Ovis aries: one gene and its partners. Each later gene encodes a partner of the first gene's protein in a complex. Links are inferred from orthologs where the notes say so. Each region holds a gene or a part of one and is shown in the gene's direction. Other genes may lie near its edges.

Region 1 (3,727 bases):
TAAGATGCCAAGGACCCGTGCATCTCACAAATACTGCAGAGCACCAACTGTGTACAGAGCATTGTGAGATGGGGGTGCCCTGAATAAGCAGAAAGCCGAGGGGCAGGCACATGCAGCGCCAGCTGTGACATATGGTGTGGTTGGTGCACCAGACTCTACCTGGGGGCGTAGAGGAGGGCTTCCCTGAGCAAGTGCCAGTAAGATGGAGAGGGGCAGAGCCCAGGGAAGGATGGCCTGGCTGGGTGGAGCACCCTGAGGCAAGATGACCCTGACTGCTTGGGGAACAGAGGAAAGGCTGTGTGCTTAGAGGACCAGGAGAGGGGAAAGGTGGGAGGTGGGCTGAACAGAGCTCAGTCAGGCCGGGGCTTTGGAGGTCATGGTAAGGAGTTTGGAATTTAGAAATAATGGGAAGCTATTGAGAGTTTAAACAGAGAGAGTTATTGTATCCATTAGAATTAGGTTTGACTGTGAATATCCGAGACCTAGAAAACAGTGATTTAAGTGAGCTAGAAGTCAAAAAAAAAAAGGCAAAAAGTAAAAGTAAGAAAAAGAAAAATGCGGAAGGTATGGAGGGTCTACAAAGTTGTCAAGGACCTGTTTTTAGATCACCAGTCCACTGTCCCTCGGGTATAGATCTTATCTTCATGACCCATGGTGGCTGCTAGAGCTCCAGCCATCACAGGTTTCAGGAAGGAAGGAAGAAGTGAGAGAAAAGGGGTGCATCTTCCCTTACAAAGCCTTTTCCAAAGACCTCACTACACTTGGGTTGATCTCTCCATGGGTAGAACTGGTCACATGGTCATGTTTTTGCCACAAGCAAAAAGAGGAGATGCCATCTTTAAGTTGGATATCAGTGTCCCCAGTTGGGAAAATGGGGAGTTCTTTTTCTACAGCCTCCCTGCTGACTGGTGTGGAAGACAGACAGAAGAGAAGCAAGAGGGAGGCAAGGAACCCTTGGGAGGGAGGCCAGGAACAGCCAGGAAGAGACAGGGAGTGGCTTGGACTCAGGGGTGTCCCAGAGGAGATGGGGAGAAGTAGATATGGGGATGGAGGTGGGTGACTTGAGTCTCAGTGGCTGGGCCGGTCGTGGTGCCATGCACTGAGCTGGGGAGACGGAAGGGAGAGCAAGGGCCGATCGAGACGTGTCGCCAGCACAAGACCCCTACCACCACCACACCTCAGTGATGAGGCGGAGCCAGGACAGCTCCAGGCTGCCCTTCCCTAGACCGTGCACCACATCCCACTGGAATGCAGTTCCCAGGATTCCACGTCAGACATAGAGGAGCACCAAGTGGCTCCTGCAGGCGCAGGTTTCTAAACCACACCCTCTAGTGGCCTGGCTGAGGCATAACATGGCTCTAGGTGGGAGGGTGTCTCCCCCCAGCAGAAGTCTGGCCCTGCCCACCACCCTCTGGTCCCCGAGTCCCTTCTCTCTGGATCAGGCAGAAACCTTGACAGTGGGGTCCAAAGGAAGAAGTTTGGGAAACTGGCCAGGTTTTTCCCCGTCATTCCTCACACGGGTGAGCCTTCCCGAGGTCACACGAGCACACGGAGCAGCATCAGTGTGTGGGCCCTGACTCACAGGCCTGTTTTTAGCCCCAGGTGGAGGCACCACCCCTGCTCACCCACCCGTGCCTCCCTGAGTCACCGCCTGCTTAAGGCACTCAGCGCCTGGGTCCCAGGGCCAGCTTTCCGGTGGCTGCCCGCAGGAGAGGCTCGGGTGCTAGAGAGGGGCCGGGACCCAGGCCCTCCCGGTGGGAGGCTTGGGAATCTGAGGGCTGGGGTCTGTGGGACACTGACCCTAGGGAGCTGGGTCTGGGGTGGCATCATGGGCCTGGCCTGCTTGCCTCCAGGCTAGTTACAGCTTCCTTCCCAGGGCAGGCATGCAGTAGGGGACACAGTGCCTGCACCTTCACGTTGACCTGCTGCATTAGACAGGCCCTGACACGTGAATAGCTACCGAGCTGACAGCTCGATTCTGAAAGTTTCCACCGAAGGCTTTGCCCCCTACATACCTTGGTAGAGACCCATGGACAGAGAAGCCTGGCAGGCTGCAGTCCGTGGGGTTACACAGAGTCGCACAACTGAAGCAACTTAGCACACACACAAGCACCTTGGTTGAGAATCTTTTGTCAGCTCTGCACCTTCCAGGTGTTGACCTTGCCCCCTTCCTTCATGTCTTTCCCACCCCGAAGGCCACCTGCAGATTGCCACCTCCTGCTCACTTCCTGAGCCATGAGCCGTGGCCTGCGGGGGAGGGGGGTGTCTGTCTCTCTCGGTGTCTTGGAGGGTGGTGGAGTTCAAAGGACTCGAGATTGGGGTCACCAACCAGTGGTCGTTGTTGTGCCAACAGATAAAAGACTCTGTCCGTGTTCTCATCTCCTCACAGGCTGATGCCAAGATGGTGTGTGACGTGGTGAGTCGGATGGAAGACACGGAGCCCTTCTCTCCAGAGCTGCTCTCCGCCATGATGCGACTCTGGGGCGACTCGGGGATCCAGGAGTGCTTCAACAGGTCTCGGGAGTATCAGCTCAATGACTCTGCCAAATAGTGAGTGTCCTGGGCAGGCGGGAGGCCACCAGCAGGGCAGCGATGTAGCGTGGAAGGGGCTTGGGGCGGGCACTGTGGGACAAGAAGGCATCCTGGGCTGAGGTTGGAACCGCTGTGAGATGCTTTGCCTTGTATGTCAGGAAGGAAGGAGAAGGGGCATCTCCTCCTGCCCATCCCCTGCCCCCCAGGATGAAAAGGAGGCCAGGGAAGTCGGGGGCACAAGAGACAGCTAACAGCAGGGCTCCCAGAGGGCCGGGGCCATCACCCGCCTGCCCTGGAGTGGGCCGGGCCCCCCTCCAGAAGGAAGGTTTTCAGTGCAGCAACCTTTTTTTTCCCCTGGAGAATCCTTGACCCCGTAAGTACTAATCAAGGGCAACAGGCAGAAAATAACTTACGTGGTTTTCTTTTTGAGAAAATAATAAGCTTTCTATTCCTCTGTCTTTAAAAATAAGGAATATGTAACCATCAGACAAGTGAAATAAATAGTCAGGCATACACTTTAATAGTGCATTACAACTAATAAGGAAAAGTAGAGGACAGAGGGGAGAGATCGACCTCAGGGCAGGAAAGAAGGTGGGGGGTGAAGCACTGAAGGCCAGAGAGAGTGGGTGGGCAAGAGAGGGGAGGGCAGAGAGGTGGCCCTTCCAGTGACCATGGGGCCACATGACTGCCCACTGCAGCCGAGTCACTCCAGGCGTCTGGAGGTTTACATGTCCTTGGCCCCTGGATCAGGGGTTCCAGGGAATGGTCCTCAGTGGTCAGAGATGCGTCTTCTGTTTGAAGACACTGGGATTACATTCCAGCTTTCAGGAAATGCATTCACATTTACAGACTCGTGCCCAGGTTTTCAGTGGGCATGAGACACATGTGCTCCAACACTGATCTGCTCAGCCTCCTCTCAGCCGGGGCCCCTTTGCCCCCCAGGACACACCAGCAGTGGTCTGGAGAGGTTTTCAGTTGTCCTGATGAGGGTGGTGCTACCGGCATCTAGTGGGTAGAGGCCAGGGATGCTGCTGACTTCCTAGAGACGCATCTTACAGCCCTCCACAGCAAAGAACTATCACACCCGCAGTGTCAGTAGCGCCAAGAGTAAGAAACGGTGGTCTCCATGGTGCTGATGTAGAGGAGGCCAGCACCGAGAAGGCAGCTTCCACTAACAGACACTGGGACGTGGCCA
Region 2 (4,214 bases), on another chromosome or scaffold:
CCTCATACTGATACCAAAGGAATTTTTCTCTGGGCCAAAATAGCATTTACAGTAGGCATCTGATGGGAGAGGCGAGAAGAGGGTTGGCTGAGGTCTCCAGTGCCCAGGAGGCTTTCCCCACAATGAGACCCCAAGGCCTGGACTCCTCAAGTAGGGGCTCCAGGGATTCCTAGCCCCTTAGAAGCTGCATGGATCCACTCGGACAATAGATGGAGGAGGCTGGACAAGGAGCCTTTGTGTCTCCTGGGTGAAGGTCCCTGGGGCACTGCCGAGGCGGCCCAGCCACACAGAGCTGTGTGTCCACCCTATTCCCACTCCTGGCAAGACTGCAGCCAGGCCTAGTCAGCTGATGTGGGACCTAGCAGGACCCAAGGTCCCAGGGCCCTGGGCAAGCTCCTCGGCCACAGAAACAGACCTTCTGTGCACTGGTCCAGACACTGACTGTCCAGAGCCCCACACAGAACAACACTGACTGGTGGAAGGGTGACTGTGATCGCCTCTATTTCAGAGAAAAGGAGGCCCCAAAAGGGCTGGAATTGGATCAAGGTCTCCCAGAGTCAGGGCTGAAGCTGAGTCAGAACCTGCACTCTCCAAGCCTAGACCAGAATGAGAAGGGGGTGGTGGTCATTTTCATTCATTCATTCAAGCATTCCAACAAGTATTAAGCAACTCCTGAGGCCTCTGGGACCAGGAGAAAGAGGCAGACTGACTGGTCCTTGGTCTCCTGGAGCTCACAGTTCAGGAAAGGGATAGACTAGGGTCCCTGGCTACAGGAGCCATCCGAATGGGGTTGAGGGCAGAGAAGAGAGTAATGTGTGTGGCGGGAGTAGGCTGAAAAGGCAGCTCATGGGAAGTAGCTCAAGATGACAGACCAAAAAAAGCCTGTTCTTAAGGAATTTCTATTGACTCTTTCTGGCTGAGATTAAGCACAGAGAGAGCACAAGAGGCTCCCTTCACTCTCCTTGCCAGAACTGGAGGGTCAGGACCCTGAGCGCCCAGATTTCCTCCCCACAGGCAATGGGAGGCCAGCGCTCTGAGCAAGGTCCCTGAACAGGTTCTCTGGAAGCTCTGCGGTGGGCAGTGACAGCGGTCACAGAGACATTGAACTTTGCAAAACTTTAGCAAAGTTTCTGAAAGCCTTTCATCACCCCAGTGAGGAAGGCCAGGGAGCCTCGGTCCCCAGGCGGTAGGTCAGTCGCCGCCCATCCCTGCCCGGGCAGCGCCCTATGGCCCTGCAGTGTTCCCGAGCGGGTAGCGGAGTGTCTCTCCCCGGCAGGAGGTGGCGGCGGCAGTGCCTGGGTCTGTCCAGAGTCCGGCCCGCCCCCGGCCTGACCCGGAGGGGTGGGGAGCTGGGCGGGGCGGCCGAGGCTCTCGGGCACGTGTGTCCCCGCGGTGGCGCGAGCACTTGGGAGCCAGGTCCGGGCACCGCGTGAGGACTAGCGCCCTGCGAGGTGAGGGCGGGCCGCCGGCAGGACCAGCGGGCGGAGAGAGGGCCGCGGGCGGGCTGGCCCGGGTGCGCGCGGGGTGGCGACTCGGCCGGCGCCGGGCAGGCAGAGCGGCGCGCGCGGCTGGCCGAGAAGGCACGGCTCCGAACCCCTGTGAGAGCTCCGGCGGGTCCGTGGTCAAGCTCGGGCTCCAGCGGAGTTCGATCGCGGGGAATGTGGACGGATACCCCGGGTGAGTGCGCATATTCGGGCAAGTGTGTGTGTCCCTGGGTGAGAGTGTGCGCCCCTGCGGAGTCAGGTAGCTGAACCTGTGGAACTTGTTTGTGTTTGTGCTCCGGTACCGGCGCCCCCGCAGCGTGGGACCTAAGCCAGAGACAGGCCAACCCTGGAGGTCCCGAGCCCCTCTCTCCAGGGGCACCCTGGGTGGCAGCCTCGCCTGGGCATCGGCAAGACTGGGGCGGGGCGGGGGGTGGGTGGCGCGCGGAGCAGTGGCCTGGAAGGACAGTTAAGCCTCTGTCTGGGGACTTTTAATCTGGCGGGCTGCTGTAGGAAGGGTCAGCCTGGAGAAAGGCAGTGCCCTCTCTCACCCCCCTAAGGAGGGCTCCCAGTGTCAGGCTTAGGGTCCCCCAGGAGCCAGACCCAAGGGCCAGGCCCTGCTGCGGACCAGAAATGCCAGTTTGGGGTCTCTGGGGCTGATGGCAGCTGTTCCTTCCAGTACGCACCCTCAGTTTCCCTGGGCTTACAGCCTGAAGTGCCCACTTTGTTTTGGATCTGGCTGGAATAATGGGAGCTTTTGAGGGCCAGGGTGGGGCCCAGATAAAGTCTCAGCTGTCTATTGGTGGAAATGATTGGGAAAGAGAGTCTTTGAGCAGACAGGGCCCCCTAAAAGCTCTCTGGAGACCCAGAGACCTTCCCTCCATCATGCCTTGTACACCATGTGACCCTGAGCAAGGCATGTCCCTTCTCTGAGCCTCATCTGTAAAAGGGGAATAATAGTGATGCGGAACTTAAGGACTATAGAGGGGCTGTCATGTGGGTCATGCTCAACACCAGTGTCCTCTTGGGCAGCCTCACTCTTTGAGGTTAGAAAGATCAGATCCTGGGGGATAACTTCCTGAAATTCAAATCCCAGTCATTTTGCTCTTTGGGCTAAACTTTCAGAGAACTTCCACTGGATCACATCTGAGCCCCTTGGCTTGGGACTCAAGGTATCTGAGAGCTGGTCCTTGCCACCCTCTCCAGCCACCTCTCCTGTCTGACTTTCCATCCTCGTAAATGCATGTAATCCGCTGCAAATGCTAGTCACTTTCTTGCCTCTGGACCATTCCATAGTCCATGCTCACTGCCTGAAATGCCCTTCTACTCATCTTCCTCAGTTGGAGAACTAACCAGCGCAGATGCCCCCTCCTCTGGTAAGCCGTCCTTAGTTAGCCAGGTTGGATTGGAGCCGCGTCTGGGCCCTTTCGGTCTTAGAGCCCTAATTCTACCCTGAACTGTTAAGGTCTCTGTCTCCTGCTTCTCATTCCCAAGGTCTCAGAACCCCTGGAGGGCAGGAACTGGATCTCACTCATTTTTGTGCTGCCAGGATCCTGCACAGCACTGAGATGAACTGGGGGAGAAGCAGCAGCCGCTAAGCCCTGTCCCCTGTCCCCAGCGTCCCCAGGGAAAGCCTGTCTACAGCAGAGCGCCATATCAGTATAAAGGACGGGAAACCAGTCAGGCCATCAGAATGGGTGGCACAGATTGCCCTAACAGTGTGTCCCGGGGCACTACAGGACTCAGGGTGTACAAGATGAAAACTTGGATTTCATCCTGAAGGCAACTAGGGAGCCATGGAACGTTTGTGAGCAGGGTATGGTCAGAACAGCATTAATAGAGAGTATATGGTTTTCTCTTTCTGACTTATTTTATTCTGTATGACAGCCTCTAGGTCTGTCTGTCTATGCAAGTGACACTATTTTGTTCCTTTTTATGGCTGAGTAATATTCCATTGTATATATGGAATATTCCATTCATCTATTGATGGACATTTAGGTTGCTTCCATGTCCTAGCCTCAATTTGTATATAGTGCTGCAATGAGCATTGGGGTGCATGTGTCTTTTTGAACTATGATTTTCTTTGAGTATATGCCCAGTAGTGGGAATGCTGGGTCATATGGTAGTTCTATTTTTAGATTTTTAAAGAACCTCCATACTGTTCTCCATAGTGGCTATATTAATTTACATTCCCATCAACAGTGCAACAGAATTCCCTTTTCCCCACACCCTCTTCAGTATTTATTGTTTATAGATTTTTTTAAAATGATGGTCATTCTGATAGGTGTGAGGTGATACCTAATTGTAGTTTTGATTCACAGTTTTCTAATGTCTACTTAGTTCTTCCACCCATATTTTGATTGGGTTGTTTGGATTTAAAATATTGAGCTACATGAGCTGCTTGTATATTTTGGAGATTGATCGCTTGTCAGTTCCTTCATTTGCAAATATTTTCTCCCATTCTGTATGTTGTCTTGCTTATGGTTTCCTTTGCTGTGCAAAAGCTTTTAAGTTTAATTAGGTCCCATTTGTTTATTTTTGTTTTCACTTTCATTACTTTAGGGGGTCGGTCAAAAAAGATCTTGCTGTAATTTATTTCAGAGTGTTCTGCATTACATTTAATTCTTTAATCCATTTTTTGAGTTATTTTGTGTGTGTGTATGGAGTTTGGGAGTGTTCTAATTTCATTCTTTTACATGTAGCTGTCCAGATTTCATAGTACCACTTATTGAA
Region 3 (4,251 bases), on another chromosome or scaffold:
CAATTCTTCAGCGCTCATCTTTCTTTATGGACAGAGAAGCATGGTGGGCTGCAGTCCATGGGGTCATTAAGAGTCAGGCACAACTGAATGACTTCACTTTCACTTTTCATTTTCATGCATTGAAGAAGGAAACGGCAACCCACTCCAATGTTCTTGCCTGGAGAATTCCAGGGGCGGGAGAGCCTGGTGGGCTGCCGTCTGTGGGGTCGCACAGAGTCGGACATGACTGAAGTGACTTAGCAGCAGCAGCACATCCATACATGACCATTGGAAAAACCATAGCCTTGACTAGACGAGCTTTGTTGGCCAAGTAATGTCTCTGCTTTTTAATATACTGTCTAGGTTGATCATAACTTTTCTTCCAAGGAGTAAGCACCATTTAATTTCATGGCTGTAGTCACCATCTGCAGTGATTTTGGAGCCCAAAAAGATAAAGTTGGCCACTGTTTCCACTGTTTCCACTGTTTCCCCATCTATTTGCCATGAAGTGATGGGGCCAGATGCCACTATGTGCCATTTAAACATTCCAAACAGCTTGTCACTAGGAATTCCCTGGTGGCTCAGTAGTTAAGACTTGGAGCTTCCACTACAGGGGTCACAGGTTCAATTCCTGGTTGGGGAGCTAAGAGCTCACATGCCACAATGCAGTCAAATAAATAAGGAAAACAGTTTGTCACCTCTTTTGAGAGAAGTCCCATAAATCTTGAAGGACCTTCCCAGATCTTAAGTCTACTTTCCTAGATTGCCCCAGGCTAAATACACCACTGTTATTTTCTACTATTCAGTATTTTACTTCTGCTGCTACTTCTATCATTATGGTCTGGATTGTTATTACAGCATTTGTTGTTGTTGTTGTATAGGTGCATATTCACACCAGATTGTGACTCTCTAGAAATAAGAATATAGTTTTTGCATGATACAAAAAACTCTGATTTTTGCATGATACATTCCTTGACACATACTAAGTGTATAAGAGATGTTGGTTAAGATTTATTACATGGGGTTGTGAGGGTCATTCCCCCTAGTTACTCCTCACCCACATTCATATACCACTGGAGCATTTTCTAAAACAAAACAAAAAAGCAAAACCCTATCAAGTGGGAAGTTCATGTACAAAAGTGCTTTCTTCAACCATACTCTGTACTGCTGAAAACTTCTGAGAACCATGCTCTTCCGCTTCTATTTTTTAACGTTTCTTATCTGAGACATTCAGAAGTGACTCACTTTGAAACTCTTCCTGTGGAGTCAGATAGTAGTGGAAAGTGTTGGGTTTGGTTTATCATCAGAAACGAAGAGAGAGAGGAAAGAGGAGGCGCTCATCAAAGTTCCTAACTGTACTTCAGGACCTGACTGTGGTCAAGGGCGGGGACCAGACAGGACAAGTGGGGACCTCCAGACCTGTGCAGAAGCCTTCAGCTATTGTCTCGGGTTTTTGGTAAGGAAACCTAGATGCACCTGATGACTTATGCCCAGCTTGTTCTCTTCATTGTAGATAATGGTTTGAAGGTCATTATTTTCTATTTCCCCTTCTTTCCCCAACTGTTATTTCTTTTGCTTTATTCCCATGTCCACCTTTTTCATTTTCTAGCTATTCCATATTCTATTTATCTTCGCTGTTTACATTTCATTCTGAAACTAATATTGAATTTTTACATCATTTTCCCCTCTCTTAAATTGGCTGTTTCTCCTTCTGATCTTTGATTCCAGCTTTTCCCAATAGTTCCATTTTCCAAATCAGTGATTATCTATTTTTCTTAATATATATATTTTTTCTATTTCATTTCGCTCTTTTTCTCTTTTATTTTTTTCCTCATTCTTTATTGCTACTGATTCTGTCATCCTGTTATTAGTATTTGATTCTGGTATCTACTTTTCTTTCCCTATTATAGCTGAATTTTAGTTTCAGGATATTACTTATCTTTTTAATTCTGATTGGTCAATTCAGTATTGAAAATTTAAAAATATATATAGAGAGAGTTACTTTTCAACCAAAACCAATTCAGTATTGAAAACTTAAAAAAAAAAAAGATACAGAGGTAATTTTCAACCAAACACTTGGAGAAATATAAAAAGTTACCTTGAACTGAAAGATTTTTAAGATTCTGATTCAGATACACTTTCATTTCAAAATGTGATATTTAAAGTATAGCTCATGCCAGATGATTCAGTTTCTTTACATTGGAATTTTTCTCTTTTCAATCTTTATTATTTCCTTAGTATTCTTTATTACTGTGCTGCTCTTGATGCCTTTCTCTGTTAGCAATACCAAAGGCTTTTCTGTTATGTGATTATTTGTAGTCAAAAGAGTTTTGGCCTGATAATAATTGGACCTAGGATTTGAGATCACTCTTAGTTGTGACTATGTAAAAGCCCCCTAATTTGTTGAGTTTCAGTGTCCAAAACTACAAAATAAACATAGAAACAGGAAGAAATAATTGCTAACTTTCTTTTCAGCCCTTGAATTCTGTGACTCTCTCCATCTCTCTGTATTTTATGAATCGACGCGTGAATATGTGTGTAGGACAGGTGATCAAGGTAGCTGCCGTGCACAACAGCAAAGGAAGAGAGCCTGACAGGACTCGAGTATTAGAATAAGCAAGGCTACAGAATGGACAATGAGAAGCACTTCTTCTTTTTTGTTATTTTGTTTTCTTGTTATTTTAACTTCTGCTAATCCCGATGCTAGCATTTAGTCAACTCAGCAGAACAAGTCATATGGTATTCTGGGTTTCTACCAAAGGAAACATAAAATGCTGTTATAGCCAATAAGAATTGGGAACTAGAAAACAAAAGAAGGAAGTTAGAAGAGATAGCATCCTTACTGAATTAACCGAATAAGAATTTAAAGTTTTAATTTAATAGAAAAAGAAAAGAAACCCCAAGTATGAGCATCCATCCATTCAAGTAACCTTTAATCCTTACGTCTTACAAAGCATTGTGCTAAATTCTGTGGAGCAAGCATTTAGAAATAAGATATTTGTTTACCATTACGAAACTTAAGACTAGAGTAATAGACAAGACAGCCATGAAAATAATTGCAATGCAGAACAAAATGCACCATTGCACGGAGAATACAAAAAATGGTTTAAACCCCACTATACACACACAAAATTTAGGAGGCTGAAGAAGTAAATTATGATTGGGATTATAAGAGAGGTTTCAAGGAAAATATATTTGAACTTGAACTTGAAAAATGACTAGGATTTCAGCATAACTAGGATTTCAACAGATAGTGATTAAGAATGGAGGAAAGAGGAGGTTAAGGCAGAGAACATCATTCCAGACCAAAATAAACAGCAGTCGCCAAGGAGTAGAAAATGGCATTGACTTGGAATAGTGAATTGTTCAGGAAAGCTACAAAGTAAGGTATGTTTATGGGAATGTTAAAAATTACAGTTATTTCCCTGGCAGTCCAGTGGTTAAGAACCTGCCTTCCAATGCAGGGTAGGTGGGTTTAATCCCTGGTCTCGAAACTAAGATCCCACATGCCACAGGGCAGCTAAGCCCATGAGCCACAACCAGCGAGCCCACATGACTCAGCGAAGACCCAGCACAGCCAAAAAAAAAGAAAGAAAGAAAGAAAGAAAAGAAAATTAGGTAAGTGTTATATCATAGAGGCCAAGAGAAATAGAGTGACAAGAAGCCAGTGTAAAATAATAGGGATATTGTGGAGGATAAAGATAAAGGAAAAGATGCTTGTATTTGTTCTCTAGAGGCAGTTTTAGCAGAGTGATGGGATAGAAGACTAATTACAAAGGGTTAAGAAGTAGCTGGTGAGAACAACAGACCCCCCAAACAAGCCAGTATTCTTGAAAAAGAAAAGCTGCTAATTTAAAAGACTTAAGAAATATCCTGATGCAAAGTGGGATCCTTAACTGGATACAACTGTTGACAAATCAGCTATAAGGGATATCTTGGGGGATGAGGGGGGAGGATAAAGTCTGAATATTCATCAAGATAAGTCTTACTGTAAATATGGAGACTGCTAAATGATAAAAGTGATCAAAGAAAGCAGTTTATATAAAACAATATGCATTTACACCCAAGTTCATAGCAACAACATCCACAATAGCTAAAATGTGGAAGCAACTCCAATGTCCATCGACAGATGAGTGGATAAATAAAATGTGGTACACACATACAGTGGAATATTATTGTCTTAAAAAAGAAGAGAATTCTGACACACACTACAACATGTATGAACCTTGAGGACATTTTGCCAAGTGAAATAAGCCAGTCACAGACAAATGC
Region 4 (3,372 bases), on another chromosome or scaffold:
TGTATTTATTTTCTGAGCATTTTTATTTCTCCCATGAAGATATGTTGGGCACCAGTTACATGCAAGGCACATTTATAGTCCTCAAGGATATGGCAGTGAACACAAAGCCTCTACCCCAGTGAGAGAAGATGACAGTAACCAATTAAATAATTATTGCCAGGGGGTGCTCTATGCTCTGATAAAAAGAAAGCAGGCTATGAGAGGGAGGACCAGGGTACAGGGTCGGAGGATGAGACACAGGAAAGAGAAAATACAAAGATCAGAGAGTGCCTTTGTGCTCACAGGCCAGCAAGTGGGCCCGTGTGGAGCGGGAAGTGAGAGAGAGTGGGAGGTGATGTCACACAGGTGGCAGGCGGCCAGGTGCTGGCCCCGGTAGCCTTGTGGGCTCAGCACCCATGTCGGCCTTTTCTCGGAGTGATGGGGAACAACAGAACTGCTAGCAAACTGGCTTGTGCTTTGTGAGGCTGTCTTTGCTGCTAGGTGGAGAACAGACCCTGGGGTTCAGGGGAGGAGAGAGAGACCCAATAGCAGGTGCTGGCAGTAGCCTAGGAGAGAGGTGGTGATGACTCGAACCTGGGTTGTCACAGAGAAACAGGTGAAACGAGGGTGGATCTGTGCCCATTCTTAACATCTCCTGGGTGGTTCTGAGAGAGTGGAGAGTAGTAGGGAGGACAGGCCCAGAGCTGAAAAGCCCACTGATGGTCAACTCAGCAGAGCCCCAGTTCCTGGTTCAGAACCCAGTGCTCCTTCCACTGCCCCCCGCCAGTCCTCCCAGGCCTGCCAGTCCCCTCACCCTGGCTCTGAGCCCCCCACTCACCCACGTGCTTGTGCTCCTTCCCACAGGTGAATATAGACCACGAGACCAGGGAGCTGACCAGGACGAACCTGCAGGCCGCCACGGCTGCATGCTTCGACGCGGCGCAGCGGAAGGTGCGAGCCCTGATGGAGAAGGACTCCTACCCGCGCTTCCTGAAGTCCCCCGCTTACCGGGACCTGGCCACCCAAGCCATGGCCGCCTCTGCCTCCCCGTCCAGCGGCAGCCCAGCTGAGGCCTCGCACACCTGAGCCTCAGGGCCTGGAAGGAGCCAGCCGGGCAGAGAGATTGAGTCACCCACCCCCAAGGTGCTGTCCCCTTGGGGGAGGCAGGTTCTGCAAAGCAAGAGAGGACAGCGAAGGAAAAAGCTGACCCGGTGACACCCTCACCTCCAGATCCTTGGGACTGAATTCCGTGCGTGAGAGGGTCACCCCACTTCTAGGACCTGTGGGCCAGGGCTGAAGATGAGGGCTGTGTGGGGCTTTTAAGGGGGGGAAGAATGATGGTGCAAGAGTCATCATTGGCTCTGGCCATTCTCAACAGGACAAGGGATATTTCCAGGGGGCTTTGCGAAATGCATGGATAAAGGGGAACTTGAAAATGAGGGAGAGAAAGACAACCAGCTTAGCCAGTTTTGCCTGTCGAATGGTTGACCTGTTTTCCTAATTTCCAGACTGTCCTGGGCATGAAGGGAGCCATGGATGGTGGAGTCTTCTCATCCTGTCCTCCTCACCTGCCTCTGGGCTATGGCGGGGTTGGGGGGTTGCCTAGCTTGCACCTCTCAACCTGGCAGTGTCCAGCCTGGCAGTCTTGTCAAGGCCAGAGTACCGATGTGATGCTTGCCCCGAATGAGATATTTACCTCAAAAACTGGCTTTCAAGCCCCTCTCCAAATCAGTAGAGAGCCCCGAAAACAGGCCATCTTGCCCATGCGAAATGAACCTTGGTGCTCTTGGTGGGTTCTTGCGGGGGCCTCTGACTCCATGGATGCCACCGGGTCCACCTGTGAGCAGGACCTGCTGAGAGCCTCTTGCTGGGATGTGTCCCCTCTTAGCTCTGAGCTGCCTGGAGCAAGATGTGGGGCCTCTTGGTGAGCGACTAGTCCAGCCCTTATGCTGGGCAGGGTGGAACAAGGGGGAAAGGGCTCCTGGGAGACAAACCTCATGGCAGTTCCAGAAAGTCCTGTTTAAATCAAGCTAATATTTTATTTTTGTGAGGATGAGAACAGGGAAAAAGAGATTCCCCAGGATGGAAGGGGAACCTTGTGTTTCTTTCCTATAGCTTGTTGGGGTGTACTCATTGGGTGTTGATGAGAAATGAGGCAGGGACCTCGATGAACTTGGATAGCCTGTAGAAGCCGGGAATGAAACTGGGGTGGAGAGAGGCTGCTGGGAAGAGCAGGACTAGGGGAAATCAGAACCTGCTTGTCACCCCAGGGCATCACCAAACACCCATTCCCTGGTGGGACTTCTGCCCCAGCTGGGCTGGGGAGGTGAATTAACCAGGCAGCCCCTCTTGCCCCCAGGGAATCCACACTGTTCTCTCTGCGCTAGGAGCTCCTCCAGGAGAAAAGTATTTAAGCCTAACATATTGTTGGTTTTGAGACAATGGTCATGGCACATTATTTTTTATTGCTGTTGTTGTGTTGTTGCTATTGTTATTTATTGTTATTTGTGCGTCTGCCTCTCCTGGAAAATCCACAGGAGGTGGTAGCCTGGCTGTCTCCCTCTTTCCAGCAGACGCTACCTCTTGAAGTGCTGGGAACCTCTTGGCGCCCGCCAGGAACTCCTCGCCGTTTAAATATTTATTTATTGTTGACCACGGGAGCTGGTTTCCTAGATGTGAATGATGTACTTATTCAATCCCCGTTTTCCTATTGCAGCATGTTATTTTATTGTGAAATAAAAATAAAACCCAAAAGTGAGATCAATCCTGTCTGCAAGGGCTGTGTGGTCGGGGGAAGAGGGAAGGGAAGTGCTCAGGGTTGGGGGTGCCTTGTGGGAGAGCTGGTCTCCAGAAATGTCACAGGACACACGGGGAAGCTTGCTGGTATATGGGCAGAGGTGCACGTCCAAGGCCCAAGTCTAATGGTGGCCTCCAGGATGGTAACTTCCTTCAGCTGGTGACGACCCAGCTCATGTCAAGCTGTTGTGTCCTATTGATGGTGAGCCTAGCCTGGGACCTGGGACCCTTTGCAGCAAGGCTGCAATGCTTGTACCTGGATACACATCTCCTTCAGCAACAAAATACAAAGGAACTGTATTTTACAATACAAAAGAGCCCCATGCATGCATAGCTGGGGCAAATTCTGTACTCAAAAGATACAAAGAGACCAAAAAACACAACTGCCAGTTTTGAGCAGCCTAGAGCAAAAATAGGGTACCGTGCAGACCCCCTGCACACAACACCAGCTAAGGGGTGGACAGAACATCTAGGCTACCCCTCCTGCCTAAGCCTTGAACAACACTCTACCCTCCCTTCACAAAGGAACCAGCTCCCCACTCCTCTCCTCAGGGAGTGAGCAAGCAAGGGAACCTGTTTGCTCTCGCTCCCCGCTGC
Region 5 (4,508 bases), on another chromosome or scaffold:
GGCAGCGACTATTGCTATTCTGTATTCCCTTTGACAACTAGCAAAGGCCTAGGCATCAAGATTTGAACTGAACTTAATTGGATACATCAATTAAGGTTTCAAGCTGTTTTCATTTGATTGCCAAAGGTAGATGAAAGAAAATGCAGCCTTATAGCATATAATACACTGATGCTATGTTTATATACATATACTTTCGCAAAAGCAAGTCTTGTCCTCAACTATACTTTAGAATCATATTGTTTTATATCATTTTATCTTTATCAATTGGGACTACAGCCTAAAAATAATGAATATTCTTCTTGGAATGGATTTCTCATTAAAATGAAAAAATAAAAAGCTAAGTTTTTTAACAGAAAAAAATTATATACTGATTTTTTTTCATGGAGATCCCAAATTTCATAAAGGACCAGAAATACTTTGTAATCTGATGCCTATTAGTCAAAGAAAACATAGGCATTGACCCTAGTGTAAAAGAAGAAAGAAAACAGTTACCTCTTCCTCTTATACATTTGCCAGTGTCCCAAAGAAATAAACAATCTGTGAATAGTCCAGCACGATTATATGTTTACAAAGCATAGAGGATTTATTCTAATATTTTCCCACCTGGAAAAACTGGTCTTAAGCGTCTTCGGCAATCAGAAAGCGACACCGAGTTCTTCCCAATATGTCATGTCACTTTGATAGCAATCATACTTGCAGGAATGGGACTGGGCAATGGTGGTAACTGTAAACGTTCTGATGTAGAAATTGCAGATGGAGAGCTTGGCTCTGGGGATGGACGTGGAAAGGAGCAGAAAGGAGCCTGGAGAAAAGCCTGTCATATTTGCTCAGAAGAACCACCAAATCAGAGAGCAGAGAAGATTTCATTGGAGGAGCGCCTTCAACAGCAACTAATCCCGTCATATTGAAAGAAAATTGTAAATGTTTTCTCCAGAAATTGTCTGCCCATCGCAGCTAATCGAACACACACTGACGAATACATACACACTCTCTTTTTATACCAAAGGTGCCCAGACGCAGAGACCCGCTCCAGCGAGAGCGCGTGACACACACGGACAGGCGTACACACACGAACGCACACACGCCAGCCTGCGGCTTGGCCAGAGCCTTGAAACTGCAGATTCCACTCGGAGACGGCCAGAAGCGCCGAACTAATTAGTAATTAGTTGCCCCTACACTAATAACTACTTCCCCAATCACTTTGGTGAAGAAATGAATCCCGCCCAGCTCGTCAGTCCAGCCAGGTCTCCGTTCTATCTTGCTCTCCAGACACCTCTTCTTCGTAAAAGCCAGGTTTGAAAGTCCTTTTTGCTTCTTCGCCTTTGGTGTTTTGGTGTGGCGGGCGGGGGCAGTGTCACTTTAACTCCAGTCTACACCGCCAAGGGCCTCCAGACTCGTAAAGTGCCTGGGACGCGTGTGGGGTGCGCGACTCTGCTAGCGCGCGCCCGAGCCCCGCGGCTCTTGCCGGAGCTTTTAGGTCCGCTCTCTCCCCGCCTTCCCCCGCCCCACCCCTCCGAGTGTCGCGGCACCAACTAATCTTTTCCTTTTCGTTTGCAAGATCAAGGGAGAGCGCAAGCCGGCGCCCGGCCTCGGACTCTGAGCCGCGCGCGGCTAGCTCCGCGGCGGGTCAGCCCCGAACCCGTGAAGGGCTCCACGCTCCTGCCAGCCAGCCCACGCCAGGGACACTGCAGCCTGGAGAGGCAACTGGAGCCAATCCGGCGGCAGGTAAGGACAGCCAGCTGCTCAGCCCTCCGCTGGCCAGCGCCAGGGACCCTGGCACTTCCCGATTCTCCGGAACGGGCGCCGAGGGGTCTGGGGTGAGGGAATTGGAGAATTCTTCCACAAGTCCAGATCCTCAAACGGAAACTTTGATTTCTGGGGCTTGGAGAACTGAGGGCAGCGATGGCGGGTACGGAAAGCAGGGGCAGAAGAGGCAGAGCGCGGGAAGGGATGCCATTCCGCGGGTCACGGAGTCCGGAGGAATGTGGCAAAGGCAGCCTGGGGGCCCGAGCCCGCCCGGGCGTCGCTGCCTCTTGCAGCCCGGCCCCCTCCCCCTGCACTGTCACCAGCTCCCCCCTCCTTGCGGTGTCCGCAAACCGGGGAGCTTCGCCCGCTCCTGCCCCTCACGTTTCTTCCAGCCTGGGGTCTGGCCACGTCTCCCAGGCGTTTGGGGTGGAGGCCCGGCTCCTCGGCCCCACAGGATCCGCGGGTTCCGCTCTGTGAGCGCCCGCGCCAGGTGGCCGGAGGGAGGCTTCGCGCTGTAGTCCGAGGAGCGTGGCCAAGGGCGGGGGGGATACGAATGGGGAGAGGGTCCCAGGACAGAGCAGGCGGAAACCTGCTGCAACCTCGTCGCGTTTCGCCCTAACACGAGGTCGGCGGTCCGCCTCGGCTAGAGGACAGGGTCTCAGCCCCAAGCCCGCGGGGTCGCGGACCGTGCCAGGGCTGCGCCGACAGCCACCTCACCATGAGATCTGAGCCACCCCTGCGGGCTTCGGGGTTGTAGATTGGGAATGACCCGACCCACAATATCCCTTTGCCGTTCGCACCTGCGGACTCGGGCGATCGCAGATAACTTGTAGCTCTCGGAACCTGCGAGGTACGGACGGTCCAATCCCGCGCTGGGAGATCGCGCAGCAATTCCACCTGTGCGCTCTGCCCGGCGCCCCCTGGGCGCCGCCGGCGGGGCTGGACGCTGCTTGCCTGGGAGAGCTCTGAAGAGGTCAAGACTTAAGATTCCTTGGAATCACTGACTCAGAAAGCAGCGCACACCCACTGCCTCAGCCTCCCGCCAGCGTCCCCATCCCTCTGTAGCCTCCTGCTCGTCGCGGTCCTCCAGGCTGCTCTAAGCCACAAAATCGTAAAAAGGAGGGTCCACTGGGCTCGCCAGACCCACGCCTTGAGACTAGGGTTGCCTGTAAGGAAATATCTCTGGGGAGTCCCTCGGGATGGAGGGGAGGGAGGAAAGAGGAGAAACGGAGGTAAACGCCTAAGGCAAGCAGAGCTGTCGACCGACATCTCACCCGAGCCGCCCTCCCGTGTCCTTAGTCGGTTCACGGCCACGGCCCGCCTGTGACGGAGGCCACCAAGGGCTCCAAGTCGGCCCGCCCAATCGCGGGGAGCCCAGCAAGAGCACGGAGCCTTCAAGTCCTCAAGCTCCGGAATCCCCCGGACTGACTTTCTATTTCCCTTTCATCTTGCGTTTTTCTGGTTTGTGTTGCTTTTCTTGCTCTTTTTTCTTAGCGCTGGGTGGCAGTGGGTTCGTGTAGTTTGCCCATCCCCTAGTACACGCAGCAAGCGACACAACACGCATCTCCCTGCTGGACCGCACACCCGCCCGCGCTCCCGCACGCAGCCTCCGCCCCCCAATTCCACAACCCCAGCGCCTGCGGCAAGGACCACCTCCTTGACCAGGATCACAGTCAGGGCGGCGGTGGCCTTGTCTCCGCGGAGGGTTGAGCCGGCCCAGATTCCGGAGAGAAACAGTGGGGCAATGGGAAAGGCCTGGGAAAAACTTGAATTGGGGTTGAGGGTGGAGTAGGGGGAGATTCTGAGGGCAGAGGCCCCCAGCACTGTAGCTCGGGTGCAGCTGCTCTGAGGGGACCCCGAGGCTCTGGCCCCCTCAGCGCCTGCGTGGAGGAGAGCCCACCCTTAGGGGAGCAGCCTTTCTCTGGGGAAGTTCAGATAGCCAGGTCCTGGAGTGGACCAGCAGCTCTCTTTGCTCCAGGCCTTTCTAGTTTACCCGCCTTGAGAGGGCTCTGAAATGTGGCACCTTGCACACTACAGCTATTCACCCAACCTTGGGCCACAAGGTCCTCCTCCTGTATTTTGTTGGCAATCAAATATAATATATGCATTATATTGAAAATACATAGAAGGATATATAGAGAGAGTACACTTTCATTGATAACCAAATAATAAGGATGATGACACAGTTAAGAAACTGCAATTAGGTATGTGTATGTGGGGTCTTTGGGGTGGTAACCACAAGGGGATAATCATAGAATTAAATCAGTAGATCACCCTAAGAACTATATTAGGCTACAATTCAGAAAGTGGACTTTTTGAGACTGTTTTGGCAAATGGATGGAAGAATTTTGTGCCAACAGTGTAGCAGCTTTGCAGGATTTGACAGCTAAGGATTCAAGAAGTAATGTTATTATCAGATGAATTTTTATTATTACTATTATTAGTAAATGTGTCTAGCTGTGGCAGTACTCTAAGCAACTTCTATTGACTCTACATGCTTTATTAGGCTAAACAATTATGCCAATTAAAGCTGAAAAGTAAAACTTGACCCTAAAAAGGCATGGAAATACCAACTAACTCAGCTTACTGTTTTAAAACTCTGTGAATGAGATGGGGCAGGAGTAGGGTAAAGTCCTTGGATCCAAAAATTCAGGGTGGGCTTCCTGAAAGATGCTTGGTCTTCCTATAAAAGAAAAGTGTATTTGTTTATGTAAGTGTGTTTGAGGTTGTCTGGGGGGATTGTAGGAAGAAAATAGGTTGAT
Region 6 (4,260 bases), about 30 Mb from region 1:
AGTTGCGGCTCTCAGACCTAGTCACTCCACAGCATGTGGAGTCTTCCCCGGCCGGGGATCAAACCCGTGCCCCCTGCATTGGCAGGCAGATTCTTATCCACTGCACCTCCAAGGATGTCCCCTAGAGGGTTCTTAAATGTAATCACAAGGGTGCTTATACCAGGGAGGCGGAGGGAGACTTGTGACGCGCAGTTGGAGGGAAGGCGATGTCTCTGTCCTTAGAGGCAGGTATTGGAACCATGTGGCCACAAGTCAAGGAGTGCTGCCAGTCAGTGGAAACGGAAGAGGCAGGAACACACTCTCCTCTGGAACCTACAGAGGGAATATAGCCCTGTTGACTTCTGGCCTCTAGAACTGTAAGAGGATACATTTCTATTGTTTTAAGTCACTCAGTTTATGGCCATTTATTCCAGCAGCAATGAGAAACTAATAACATAGTTTCTTCCCCACCCCAGACTCCAGCATGTTTCAGCAATAACCCAGAAAGGGACTGGAAAAGATGGTGATGGCTCTTGCCTGGAAAATCCCATGGATGGAGGAGCCTGGTGGGCTGCAGTCCCTGGGGTCGCTGAGAGTTGGACACAACTCAGTGACTTCACTTTCACTTTTCACTTTCATGCATTGGAGAAGGAAATGGCAACCCACTCCAATGTTCTTGCCTGGAGAATCCCAGGGACGGGGGAGCCTGGTGGGCTGCCATCTATGGAGTCACACAGAGTCGGACACGACTGAAGCGACTTAGCAGCAGCAGCAGCAGACGGGAAGACTGAATAGTCCTCAAGTACTGGGCCATCTTCACAGACTTGCTTTTCCTCTCTGGGTCTCAATGGAACCCAGTTGGGAGGCTGGGGCTCACAATCAATTCCCAGTTCCCAGGTTGAAGCCAACTGAACCCCTGAGCTTTTTCAGGGCTACCTGGGGCCATAGAAGGAAAGAGTGAGTGTGTGTGTGTGAAGTCGCTCAGTCGTGTCCGACTCTTTGCAACCCCACGGACAGCAGCCCACCACGCTCCTCTGTCCATGGGATTCTCCAAGCAATAGTACTGGAGTGGATTGCCATTTCCTTCTCCAGAAGGAAAGAGACAGCCTCTCAAATGGGGAACTCAAGGCAGGGAGAGGGGCCAGGTCTCGACAAGGTGGGAGTCTCTAACGTCTGGCTTCCTTCCTCCTGGGACCTGGAACTTCCTCCTGGCCCCTTCCATGGAGCGGCTGGAGGAGGTGTTCAGGGTTCACTGGGTGTGTGCCTTGCGGAAGAAACCCCAAGCCCCAGACCAATGAGAACCCCAGAGGGGTAAGACGGGTCATTTCCTCTCTGGTTATCTGCACCCTCCCTTGGGGCTTGCAAGCCACAGCCCTTGGGAGCCTTTGATCAGAGGAGAATCTGGGAGAGACCTGAAGATGGTGAGTCTAGAGGGGAACGGGGGGCAGACACCCCCTATGTGTGTGCTCTCCCTTCTTGGCACCATCTGCTCCCTTTTTCCTTCCTCCTCCTCCCAGTCCTTGACCTCTCCCCTTCTCTCCTCACCTTCCTCTCCCCCTCAGGGGCTGGGAAGCAGCTAAGAAGTAAGACTGTCAAGGGGTTATAGGGCCCGTGATTAGCTTTGACTTTTCCTCTCTGTTAAATAATCCCAAAATAGTTTGAAAATTTTGTTTCTACACATTTTATTATTCACCCATGATTTTCTAAAATTGAAATGTTTTAATTCCTTTCTCTGCTCAGTTGATGCTGAGATCCATATTTAGTTTTATAAGCTAATCCCTGTGTTTTTTTGGCTCATGAGATTTTTTTTTTGTCATGGAAATATAGGAGTGGAATATTAATACATTTCACTTTAGCTCTGTAATGTCAGAATTTTTTTTTTAATTAAAAGATGGACTAGAGCTTTTTCTTTCTGAATACTAATAATTAAAAAAAAAAAAAAGTCCCAAATCCTTAAAGGGTACTCAGTGAAAGGACCATCCCTGCCCAGAGACTCAGATTCCTCGTAGCTCTGGTTTCTTGTAACCAGAAACGTAGGAGGGTGGAATCAGGGCAACAGTTTGTGGCTAACACTTCTGGAAACAGTCCATGACAGTGTAGAGAGTAAGGAATATTTTGACATGGAGATCATACCGAAACTAGGTTCAAATCCTGCCTATCTTGTGTAGGAGCTGAAGAGACTCGTCTGTCTGAGCCTCCTTCTCCTTGTCACTAAGATGGGGATAGTCTGTATCACAGGGTCATGGAGAGAGTTCAGTGAGATAATACATGGGAAGCGCTTTCAGCAGTGGCTGGCATACAGCTGGCTCTCAATGCCTGTGATGTGTCTATCCTTTCTACCCTACAAAGAGAAGTCTTTTTTACACGATATCCTACCTCTCGCTTTTTTTCTTACGTGAATAACTTATAATATTATTGACAACCTCCACCTGCATGCCAGGCACTGTGCTAGGCACTTGACGTTTACAAACGTCAGCTTAATCTGTGAGAAACATACTGGTATATCCTGGTGTGTTTCAGGGAAATTCCCTTTATCTTTTCATCAGCTGTGGGATATGCCAGTGAGAGTTTCCATTGCTTATCAGTGGAAATTTAGCTGTTTGTAATTAGAAAATTCCCTGGTGGTCCAGTGATTAAGATTCAGCACTTTCACTGTCAGGGGTCTGGGTCCGATCGCTGGTCAGGGAGATAAGATCCTACAGGCTGGGCAGCCAAAAAAAAAAAAAAAAAAAACGCAAACCCTGAAACACCAGAATTATATCTTTGGATTCATGTCTGGGTTTTCAGAACTGCAAATGCTGAATCTAAGACACAGACAATTTTTATTTTAACAGATATTGCCAAAACCTGTACCAATTTATATTCCTCATCTTCAGAGCAGGAGAGTATTTACTTGTCTAGACACCCATCTGCATGTTCAGATGGAACTATTTTTGCTTTTTGCCAGCCTGAAAGGTAGTTCCTCGCATCCTGAAAGGATCCGGAGGCTTGTCTTTTTCACATCGTTTTTAAAATGCAAATGCCTGTGTTTCTTCGTGCTCAGGGATGTTGAGTCTCAAAGACTGTGCAGATTCAAGAGGATGAGTCGAGATGCTCACCCCCATCCTTGTATCCCAGTTTCTGAGGATGCCTTAGTGGTTTTATGTGGTTCTGTGGGTGGACTGTTTAAAGACATTGTGTCCACGTAGAAATGGGGAGAGGGATGTTCCAGAAAAAAAAGCAGCCCGTGCCTTCTGTGTATTTCCTAGGCCTGACAGCATCTCTGAGTCTATTATTTCCGCCATAAAGAAGGGGACAGTTGGCAGGACGTTCCCTGCCCTGAAGATGGCAAGACGGAAGCCCTGCAAGGGAGGGAAGGGGCGTGTGGCCCCTCTTAACGCTCCTACTTTTCTTCCTCCTCTGGGGATCGCTCCCGTCTTTGCTGGCCTGAGTCCCAGCCCCAGCCTCCTCTCTGGTCCTCTTGCCTCTAATCTCACCTCCCCACAGCAGCCAGAGGAAGCTTTCTGAACAAGAACGCTCATCTAGTCCCTCTGTGACTCAAAGACCATCTGCGGCTCCCCATGACCCCAGGATAAAACACATCTCCTTTAACATGACATCTGTGGCTCCTCCAACCTCATCCTGGCTACCTGCCAGCCTCGCTGGTGTTCTTTCACCTTCTGGTGTGTGACATCCTCCCTGTTACCGTGTGACCCTTTGCCTTGAAGGCATGGGGTCCCCTCACTCCCACCACGCCTGAGGCCTGGTAACCTCTCAGAGAAGGTTCTAGGGTTGGACTCTCTGAAGGTCTCTCCTACCTCTGTCACTTGCTAACAGTGAGGACCTGGAAAGGTCTCTTAAGCTGTCTGTAGCCTCAGTTTTCTCATCTGCAAAGTGGGTATTGCAGTGGCAAAAAAAGAAGAGCTGATACAGGAAAAGGACTTAGAACTTGGTGATTCTGATTGCTTTTCTCCTAAGCATCTTCTCCTTAGCCCTCGCCTCCTCTGATCCATTCATGAGTCCTCACACTCACCACCCTAGTGCAAACCACCATCATCCCTCACCACAGCTGGGCAATTCCAATCACCTCTCCTTCTCAGCTTCTGATCTGGCCCTTTCTCCACACAGTAGGCAAGGGCTCTTAAAAACGAGCCTTTGATCTTAGGAAAAAAAGAGTACCCGCCTTTGGGCTTGTTGTACCGTAAACACTGTGGTTAGAGAATTAACAAACTAACACCTAGGAAGCACTTAGGAATCGCTTAGGAGCCCCAGACCGCTGGAGTCTGAGACGAAGCCACCAGC
Region 7 (4,081 bases), on another chromosome or scaffold:
CCCCCGTCTGTGGGTGTCTGTGTGTCTGCCTACGGGCGTGTCTGTCTGTCTCGCTGTGTGTGTCTCGTCCTTGACCCTGTCTATCCGAACGCTTGTGCCTGGGGGAGGGGGCGCTCCCTCCTGCCTCTCTCCCCCCAGCCCCTCCCGCGGGCGCTAACGCAGCGCGCCGCCTTAGCTGCGCCCGGAGCGCAGTGACCTCGTCTGTCCCCGCATCAGCGACCTCACCACCGCGCTGTCCACCGGGGGGGACCCCGAGGCTGGGTGCCAGGCCGACGGTCGCTTTCCCCCAGCCTACGGCCCCCTGAGCTCAGGGTGGGCACGCTCCCTTCGCGGCTGGGTTCGTTGGTTCCCCATCTTCCCTTATGTAACTCCACATCTGTCTGCTCCTTGCAGGTCACCCTGGACCCTACCCTGGGTCCTGCCCAAGGGAGAGTGAGAGCCAACGTCCCACCCATATGGGGGGTGGAGCAAACCCCTGACCAGGGCACCGGCTATCGGAGACCCCTCCCATCCTTTCTCCTCGGGAGATTCCTTTCTCCGAGTCCTGCTTGCTCGAAGGGTGAAACGAGGAGGGGGTCCCATGGGGGCAAGTTCCCCTGAGCGCGGATGCAGAAGTTTCCCCTCACTCCCACTCCGGACCCCCTCAGGCGCCCCAGATCCCGATGAGAGCCAGCCAGGGGTCACCGGGACGGAGGGCACTGGGCAGGTCAAGCGGCCCAGAGACTGGCTCCTGTGTGCGCGGGCGGTTGACCGCAGGCGAGCCCCCAGCTCGGGCGACCGCCGTGCCAGGCTCTTCGCCAGCCGGCGTGCGCACTCGGGCTGGGGCTCCGGCGGCCCGGCGGGCACGCGGCGCTGTCCGTGGTGCTGCCGGCGCCGGGCGGGGCGGGGGCGGGGCGAGGGCGGCAGCCAATGGCGGGGGCGCTGCGCGGGGCGCGGGGGGCCGCCGGCTGGCCTCGGGGCTCACTCAGCTGCGCGCGGCACTCCGGGCGCACGGACGCTCAGGCAGCGGCTCCGGCTCCAGCTCCGCCCCGGGTCCGCTCGGGCTGCAGTGCTCCTGCCGCTGGCCCGGTTCGGCTCAGATTCCGGGCCGGGCCCCCTGGGCGCGGCCCGCCCCGGCCCCCGTCTCGGCGCCCGCGGACCATGCGCCGGGCACCCAACGGGGAACCCGGCCGGGCCGAGAGCCCGCAAAGACCAGGCTCCCGGACCGGGGCCACTCCTGGCCGCCCGGCTGGCGGTCCGCACCCTGCCCCGCGCCCCCGCGCCCCGTGAGCCGGCGGGGCCATGGAGCGCTCATCGCCCGACGGGCCGCTGAACGCGTCGGGGGCGCTGGCTGGCGAGGCGGCGGCGGCGGCGGCGGGCGGGGCGCGCGGCTTCTCCGCCGCCTGGACCGCGGTGCTGGCGGCGCTCATGGCGCTGCTCATCGTGGCCACGGTGCTGGGCAACGCGCTGGTCATGCTCGCCTTCGTGGCGGATTCGAGCCTCCGCACCCAAAACAACTTCTTTCTGCTCAACCTCGCCATCTCCGACTTCCTCGTGGGTAAAGCCCCCAGCCCCCTCCAGAGTCAGGGGCGCCCAGCCGGGTCGGGTCAGCAGGGATTGGAACGTGGACCTAGGGTGCTTTTCCTCGGGGACACACCCCGCTAGGAAGCCAGGCCTGGGTAGGGGGTGTCCAGGACTTTGGGGAGGTGGGCACAGGCGAAGTTCCTTGCCTCCCGGGCCCCGGGACTGGGGCTGGGGAAGGACGTCCCCGGGGAAGGGGTCCGAGCGAGCGGACGCTCAGCAAGGCGCAAGGCTCTGCGGCCACTGTGCAGCGCGGGCTCCTGCGCCGTAGCCAAACAAAGGCTGCAGCGGACTCAGGACACGGGGAGGGTGCTGGGGGGAGGGTGCTGGGGGGAGGCTGGGGGGAGGGGACGTGGAAGGGAGATTTTTAGAGCCGTGTTGGGGGAGGAGGCCGCGGGGAAGGCGGGGTTGGGGAGATGCTCTGAAGCGCGCGCTCTCACGTGTCCGTGCGCTGCTGCCGGCTGTGACCGGGGGGGGGGGGGGGGGGGGGGGGGGGGGCGCAAGGAGGGGGCCGGAGCGCCAGACACCTGTTGGGGCTGAGAGGAGCGTCTGCCAGCTGCTCAGAGCGGGGCTTGGCGTTGGGAGCCGCCCGCATGGTAGCAGTCAAGTGCCCTTTGAGTCCGGAGAAATGTTTTCTCGGCTTCCGAGCTGATGATGAGGAGCTGCCCAAAGGCCAGGATAGGAGCTGGGGTGCAGCGGGGCGGAGAGGAAGGAAATTCTTCCTTCCTTCAGGCACTGAGAGGACTAGCAAAAGGCCAGGAATGACGCTTTGGGTCTCCTTGTGCCCAGTGGGCCCTACCGCTGGAGCTTTTTCCTGCTCCCAAGTCCAGGAACACAGTGGGGCTGGGGGTGGGGCAAGGGTTGGAGGCCAGGTGCAGGGCTCAGAGCATGCCTAGGAAGGAGGTGGAGGGGGGATTGCTGGTCCCAGAAAGGGGCCCATTATGTGACCCCAGGTCCTGCTTATCTCCCAGCTGTGGGGGGGTCTGACCCCAGGCCCCTGCCCAGCCATGGCCCTCCTTTCCCACAGGGGCGTTCTGCATCCCACTCTATGTGCCCTACGTGCTGACTGGTCGCTGGCCCTTTGGCCGGGGCCTCTGCAAGCTGTGGTTGGTGGTGGACTACCTGCTCTGCACCTCCTCTGTCTTCAATATCGTTCTCATCAGCTATGACCGCTTCCTGTCGGTCACCCGAGCCGTGAGTCTGGGATGTGGGTGCCCATGTTCACTCTCAGGGGGCAGGGTGGCCAGAGGCGGCCAGGAGACGCACCAGGCAGGGGGTACGGCCACTTCTGAATGGGCGGTGCTGGGTGGGCTTGGGGTCTGCTCACCTCAGGCACTCTGTAGCCACCTGCCTGCTCAGTAGCCATCTGCTGCCAGTAGGACGGGTCCTGGTTTGGGCAGAAGGGGCTGTCTGGACCTGAAGGAGGGGGTCACTCCAGCCTCCACCCTGGAGCAGGTCCAAAGTCCCTGGAACTAAGGGACTATCTGGGGCCAAGGGCCCTTGGTAGGACCTCCCCACGGGTGTGTGTGCCTCAGAAAGACAGGCTCCATGAGCTGCCCTGGGTGTGGGTGGCCACACTTAGGGACCCTGGACTGCCCACACTTCCCATGTCAGAGTCACGCAGGCACAGGGCTGGCGGCAGCACTGCCCCAGAGGTCAGTCTGGTGCCATCTCCTCTGACGGCTCTGCCAGGCTCCCTCTGCCAAGGCTGTGTGTGTCCTAGTCTAGGGAGGCAGTGGGTCAGGGTGCAGAGAGCATGGGTTTGGAGTCAGCCCTGCCCGTGGAGCCCCTCCACCTGTGGTCTTTCCTGCCTGACCTGAACCATCAAGAATGTGGGGACCAGGGTGGAGCAGCTGTGAAGATTAAATGAGATGATATCAAAGATACCGAGCACAGAGCAGGGCACACAATGGGTCCTCAAAGGACTGGACAGTGACGTGACTCCTAGGGAGCACACAGCTGGCAGGGGGATGGCTTGCAGGCAGCCTGGCACAATATTAGGATTCTGAGAGGCGGTTCCGAGCCCATGGGAGAGTCACAGGCCTCAGCCTACTGGGGGTTCGTGGAGGATAAGGGAAAGCGTCTTTGCTGAGGAGGGCCCTGCACAGAGGCCTGGAGGCTGCCCGGAGCTCTGGGCAGCACTGTGCCCTGGCTCAGTCCCCTTGCCTCCTGACCCAGCGTGTCCCGCCACAGGTCTCTTACCGGGCCCAGCAGGGTGACACGCGGCGGGCGGTGCAGAAGATGGTGCTGGTGTGGGTGCTGGCCTTCCTGCTCTATGGACCCGCCATCCTCAGCTGGGAGCACCTGTCTGGCGGCAGCTCCATTCCTGAGGGCCACTGCTACGCCGAGTTCTTCTACAACTGGTACTTCCTCATCACGGCCTCCACCCTTGAGTTCTTCACCCCTTTCCTCAGTGTCACCTTCTTCAACCTCAGCATCTACCTGAACATCCAGAGGCGCACCCGTGTCCGGCTGGATGGAGTGCGCGAGGCGGCCACCACCGAGCTTCCACCCGAGGCCC

Evidence for each region.
Region 2: the proteins of GNAO1 (region 1) and P2RY2 are in contact, whole or in part, in a cryo-EM structure (PDB 9K20), measured with the Homo sapiens proteins. The link is inferred for Ovis aries from reciprocal best matches to the Homo sapiens genes GNAO1 and P2RY2. Residues at the interface, in NP_066268.1 of Homo sapiens: Ala31, Lys32, Asp33, Val34, Leu195, Gln305, Glu309, Glu318, Ile319, Tyr320, Cys321, His322, Met323, Val334, Phe336, Thr340, Asp341, Ile343, Ile344, Asn347, Leu348, Gly350, Cys351, Gly352, Leu353, Tyr354; in NP_002555.4 of Homo sapiens: Asn66, Ser68, His130, Arg131, Gly134, Val135, Pro138, Leu139, Leu142, Arg143, Met221, Arg224, Leu225, Ala229, Tyr230, Gly231, Thr232, Ser233, Pro237, Ala239, Lys240, Lys242, Ser243, Arg245, Thr246, Leu308.
Region 3: the proteins of GNAO1 (region 1) and C3AR1 are in contact, whole or in part, in a cryo-EM structure (PDB 8I95), measured with the Homo sapiens proteins. The link is inferred for Ovis aries from reciprocal best matches to the Homo sapiens genes GNAO1 and C3AR1. Residues at the interface, in NP_066268.1 of Homo sapiens: Ile28, Ala31, Lys32, Asp33, Val34, Asn194, Leu195, Ser264, Asn316, Glu318, Tyr320, Asp341, Ile342, Ile343, Ile344, Ala345, Asn347, Leu348, Arg349, Gly350, Cys351, Gly352, Leu353, Tyr354; in NP_001313404.1 of Homo sapiens: Asn57, Asp119, Arg120, Val123, Val124, Pro127, Ile128, Gln131, Asn132, Arg134, Asn135, Tyr356, Ile359, Arg362, Gly366, Arg367, Phe368, Ser371, Lys374, Thr375, Val378, Leu438.
Region 4: the proteins of GNAO1 (region 1) and RGS16 are in contact, whole or in part, in a crystal structure (PDB 3C7K), measured with the Mus musculus proteins. The link is inferred for Ovis aries from reciprocal best matches to the Homo sapiens genes GNAO1 and RGS16. Residues at the interface, in NP_034438.1 of Mus musculus: Glu64, Asp65, Gln68, Ser75, Arg86, Thr117, Val180, Lys181, Thr182, Thr183, Gly184, Ile185, Val186, Gln205, Arg206, Ser207, Glu208, Lys210, Lys211, His214, His236, Glu237, Asp238, Glu239; in NP_035397.2 of Mus musculus: Glu85, Phe86, Ser87, Glu89, Asn90, Glu124, Ala125, Pro126, Glu128, Val129, Asn130, Asp132, His133, Glu134, Leu161, Lys164, Asp165, Ser166, Arg169, Lys172.
Region 5: the proteins of GNAO1 (region 1) and CHRM2 are in contact, whole or in part, in a cryo-EM structure (PDB 7T8X), measured with the Homo sapiens proteins. The link is inferred for Ovis aries from reciprocal best matches to the Homo sapiens genes GNAO1 and CHRM2. Residues at the interface, in NP_066268.1 of Homo sapiens: Lys24, Ile28, Ala31, Lys32, Leu195, Tyr320, Asp337, Ala338, Thr340, Asp341, Ile343, Ala345, Asn347, Leu348, Gly350, Cys351, Gly352, Leu353, Tyr354; in NP_000730.1 of Homo sapiens: Asn58, Arg121, Cys124, Val125, Pro128, Leu129, Thr130, Pro132, Val133, Lys134, Thr136, Ile209, Ser213, Lys214, Ser215, Arg216, Ile217, Arg381, Lys384, Val385, Thr388, Ile389, Cys443.
Region 6: the proteins of GNAO1 (region 1) and C5AR1 are in contact, whole or in part, in a cryo-EM structure (PDB 8JZP), measured with the Homo sapiens proteins. The link is inferred for Ovis aries from reciprocal best matches to the Homo sapiens genes GNAO1 and C5AR1. Residues at the interface, in NP_066268.1 of Homo sapiens: Ala31, Lys32, Lys193, Asn194, Leu195, Glu318, Tyr320, Phe336, Thr340, Asp341, Ile343, Ile344, Ala345, Asn347, Leu348, Arg349, Gly350, Cys351, Gly352, Leu353, Tyr354; in NP_001727.2 of Homo sapiens: Asn71, Phe75, Arg134, Leu137, Val138, Pro141, Ile142, Gln145, Ile225, Thr229, Arg233, Ala234, Thr235, Arg236, Ser237, Lys239, Thr240, Val243, Val244, Ala303, Gln305, Phe307.
Region 7: the proteins of GNAO1 (region 1) and HRH3 are in contact, whole or in part, in a cryo-EM structure (PDB 8YN7), measured with the Homo sapiens proteins. The link is inferred for Ovis aries from reciprocal best matches to the Homo sapiens genes GNAO1 and HRH3. Residues at the interface, in NP_066268.1 of Homo sapiens: Ile28, Ala31, Lys32, Asp33, Val34, Lys193, Asn194, Leu195, Asn312, Pro315, Asn316, Lys317, Glu318, Ile319, Tyr320, Phe336, Thr340, Asp341, Ile343, Ile344, Ala345, Asn347, Leu348, Arg349, Gly350, Cys351, Gly352, Leu353, Tyr354; in NP_009163.2 of Homo sapiens: Asn69, Asp131, Arg132, Ser135, Val136, Ala139, Val140, Tyr142, Arg143, Ala144, Gly147, Ile221, Ile225, Arg228, Arg232, Thr345, Phe348, Arg349, Arg352, Val356, Leu360, Cys415, His416, His417.

What each region holds. Positions count from the first base shown.
Region 1 is NC_056067.1:23,782,162-23,785,888, reverse strand, and holds part of GNAO1 (guanine nucleotide-binding protein G(o) subunit alpha), read left to right. Parts: intron 1-2,389; coding exon 2,390-2,550; intron 2,551-3,727. UniProt on the Homo sapiens protein: Guanine nucleotide-binding proteins (G proteins) function as transducers downstream of G protein-coupled receptors (GPCRs) in numerous signaling cascades.
Region 2 is NC_056068.1:51,433,982-51,438,195, forward strand, and holds the start of P2RY2 (P2Y purinoceptor 2), read left to right. Parts: upstream 1-1,403; 5' UTR 1,404-1,451; exon of another isoform or gene 1,452-1,677; intron 1,678-4,214. UniProt on the Homo sapiens protein: Receptor for ATP and UTP coupled to G-proteins that activate a phosphatidylinositol-calcium second messenger system. The affinity range is UTP = ATP > ATP-gamma-S >> 2-methylthio-ATP = ADP.
Region 3 is NC_056056.1:207,178,090-207,182,340, reverse strand, and holds the start of C3AR1 (C3a anaphylatoxin chemotactic receptor), read left to right. Parts: upstream 1-1,227; 5' UTR 1,228-1,435; intron 1,436-4,251.
Region 4 is NC_056065.1:63,093,191-63,096,562, reverse strand, and holds the end of RGS16 (regulator of G-protein signaling 16), read left to right. Parts: intron 1-843; coding exon 844-1,065; 3' UTR 1,066-2,743; downstream 2,744-3,372. UniProt on the Homo sapiens protein: Regulates G protein-coupled receptor signaling cascades. Inhibits signal transduction by increasing the GTPase activity of G protein alpha subunits, thereby driving them into their inactive GDP-bound form.
Region 5 is NC_056057.1:102,026,142-102,030,649, forward strand, and holds the start of CHRM2 (muscarinic acetylcholine receptor M2), read left to right. Parts: upstream 1-1,561; 5' UTR 1,562-1,725; intron 1,726-4,508. UniProt on the Homo sapiens protein: The muscarinic acetylcholine receptor mediates various cellular responses, including inhibition of adenylate cyclase, breakdown of phosphoinositides and modulation of potassium channels through the action of G proteins.
Region 6 is NC_056067.1:54,073,359-54,077,618, forward strand, and holds the start of C5AR1 (C5a anaphylatoxin chemotactic receptor 1), read left to right. Parts: upstream 1-1,342; 5' UTR 1,343-1,397; coding exon 1,398-1,400; intron 1,401-4,260.
Region 7 is NC_056066.1:54,698,588-54,702,668, forward strand, and holds the start of HRH3 (histamine H3 receptor), read left to right. Parts: upstream 1-1,281; coding exon 1,282-1,537; intron 1,538-2,587; coding exon 2,588-2,754; intron 2,755-3,753; coding exon 3,754-4,081. UniProt on the Homo sapiens protein: The H3 subclass of histamine receptors could mediate the histamine signals in CNS and peripheral nervous system. Signals through the inhibition of adenylate cyclase and displays high constitutive activity (spontaneous activity in the absence of agonist).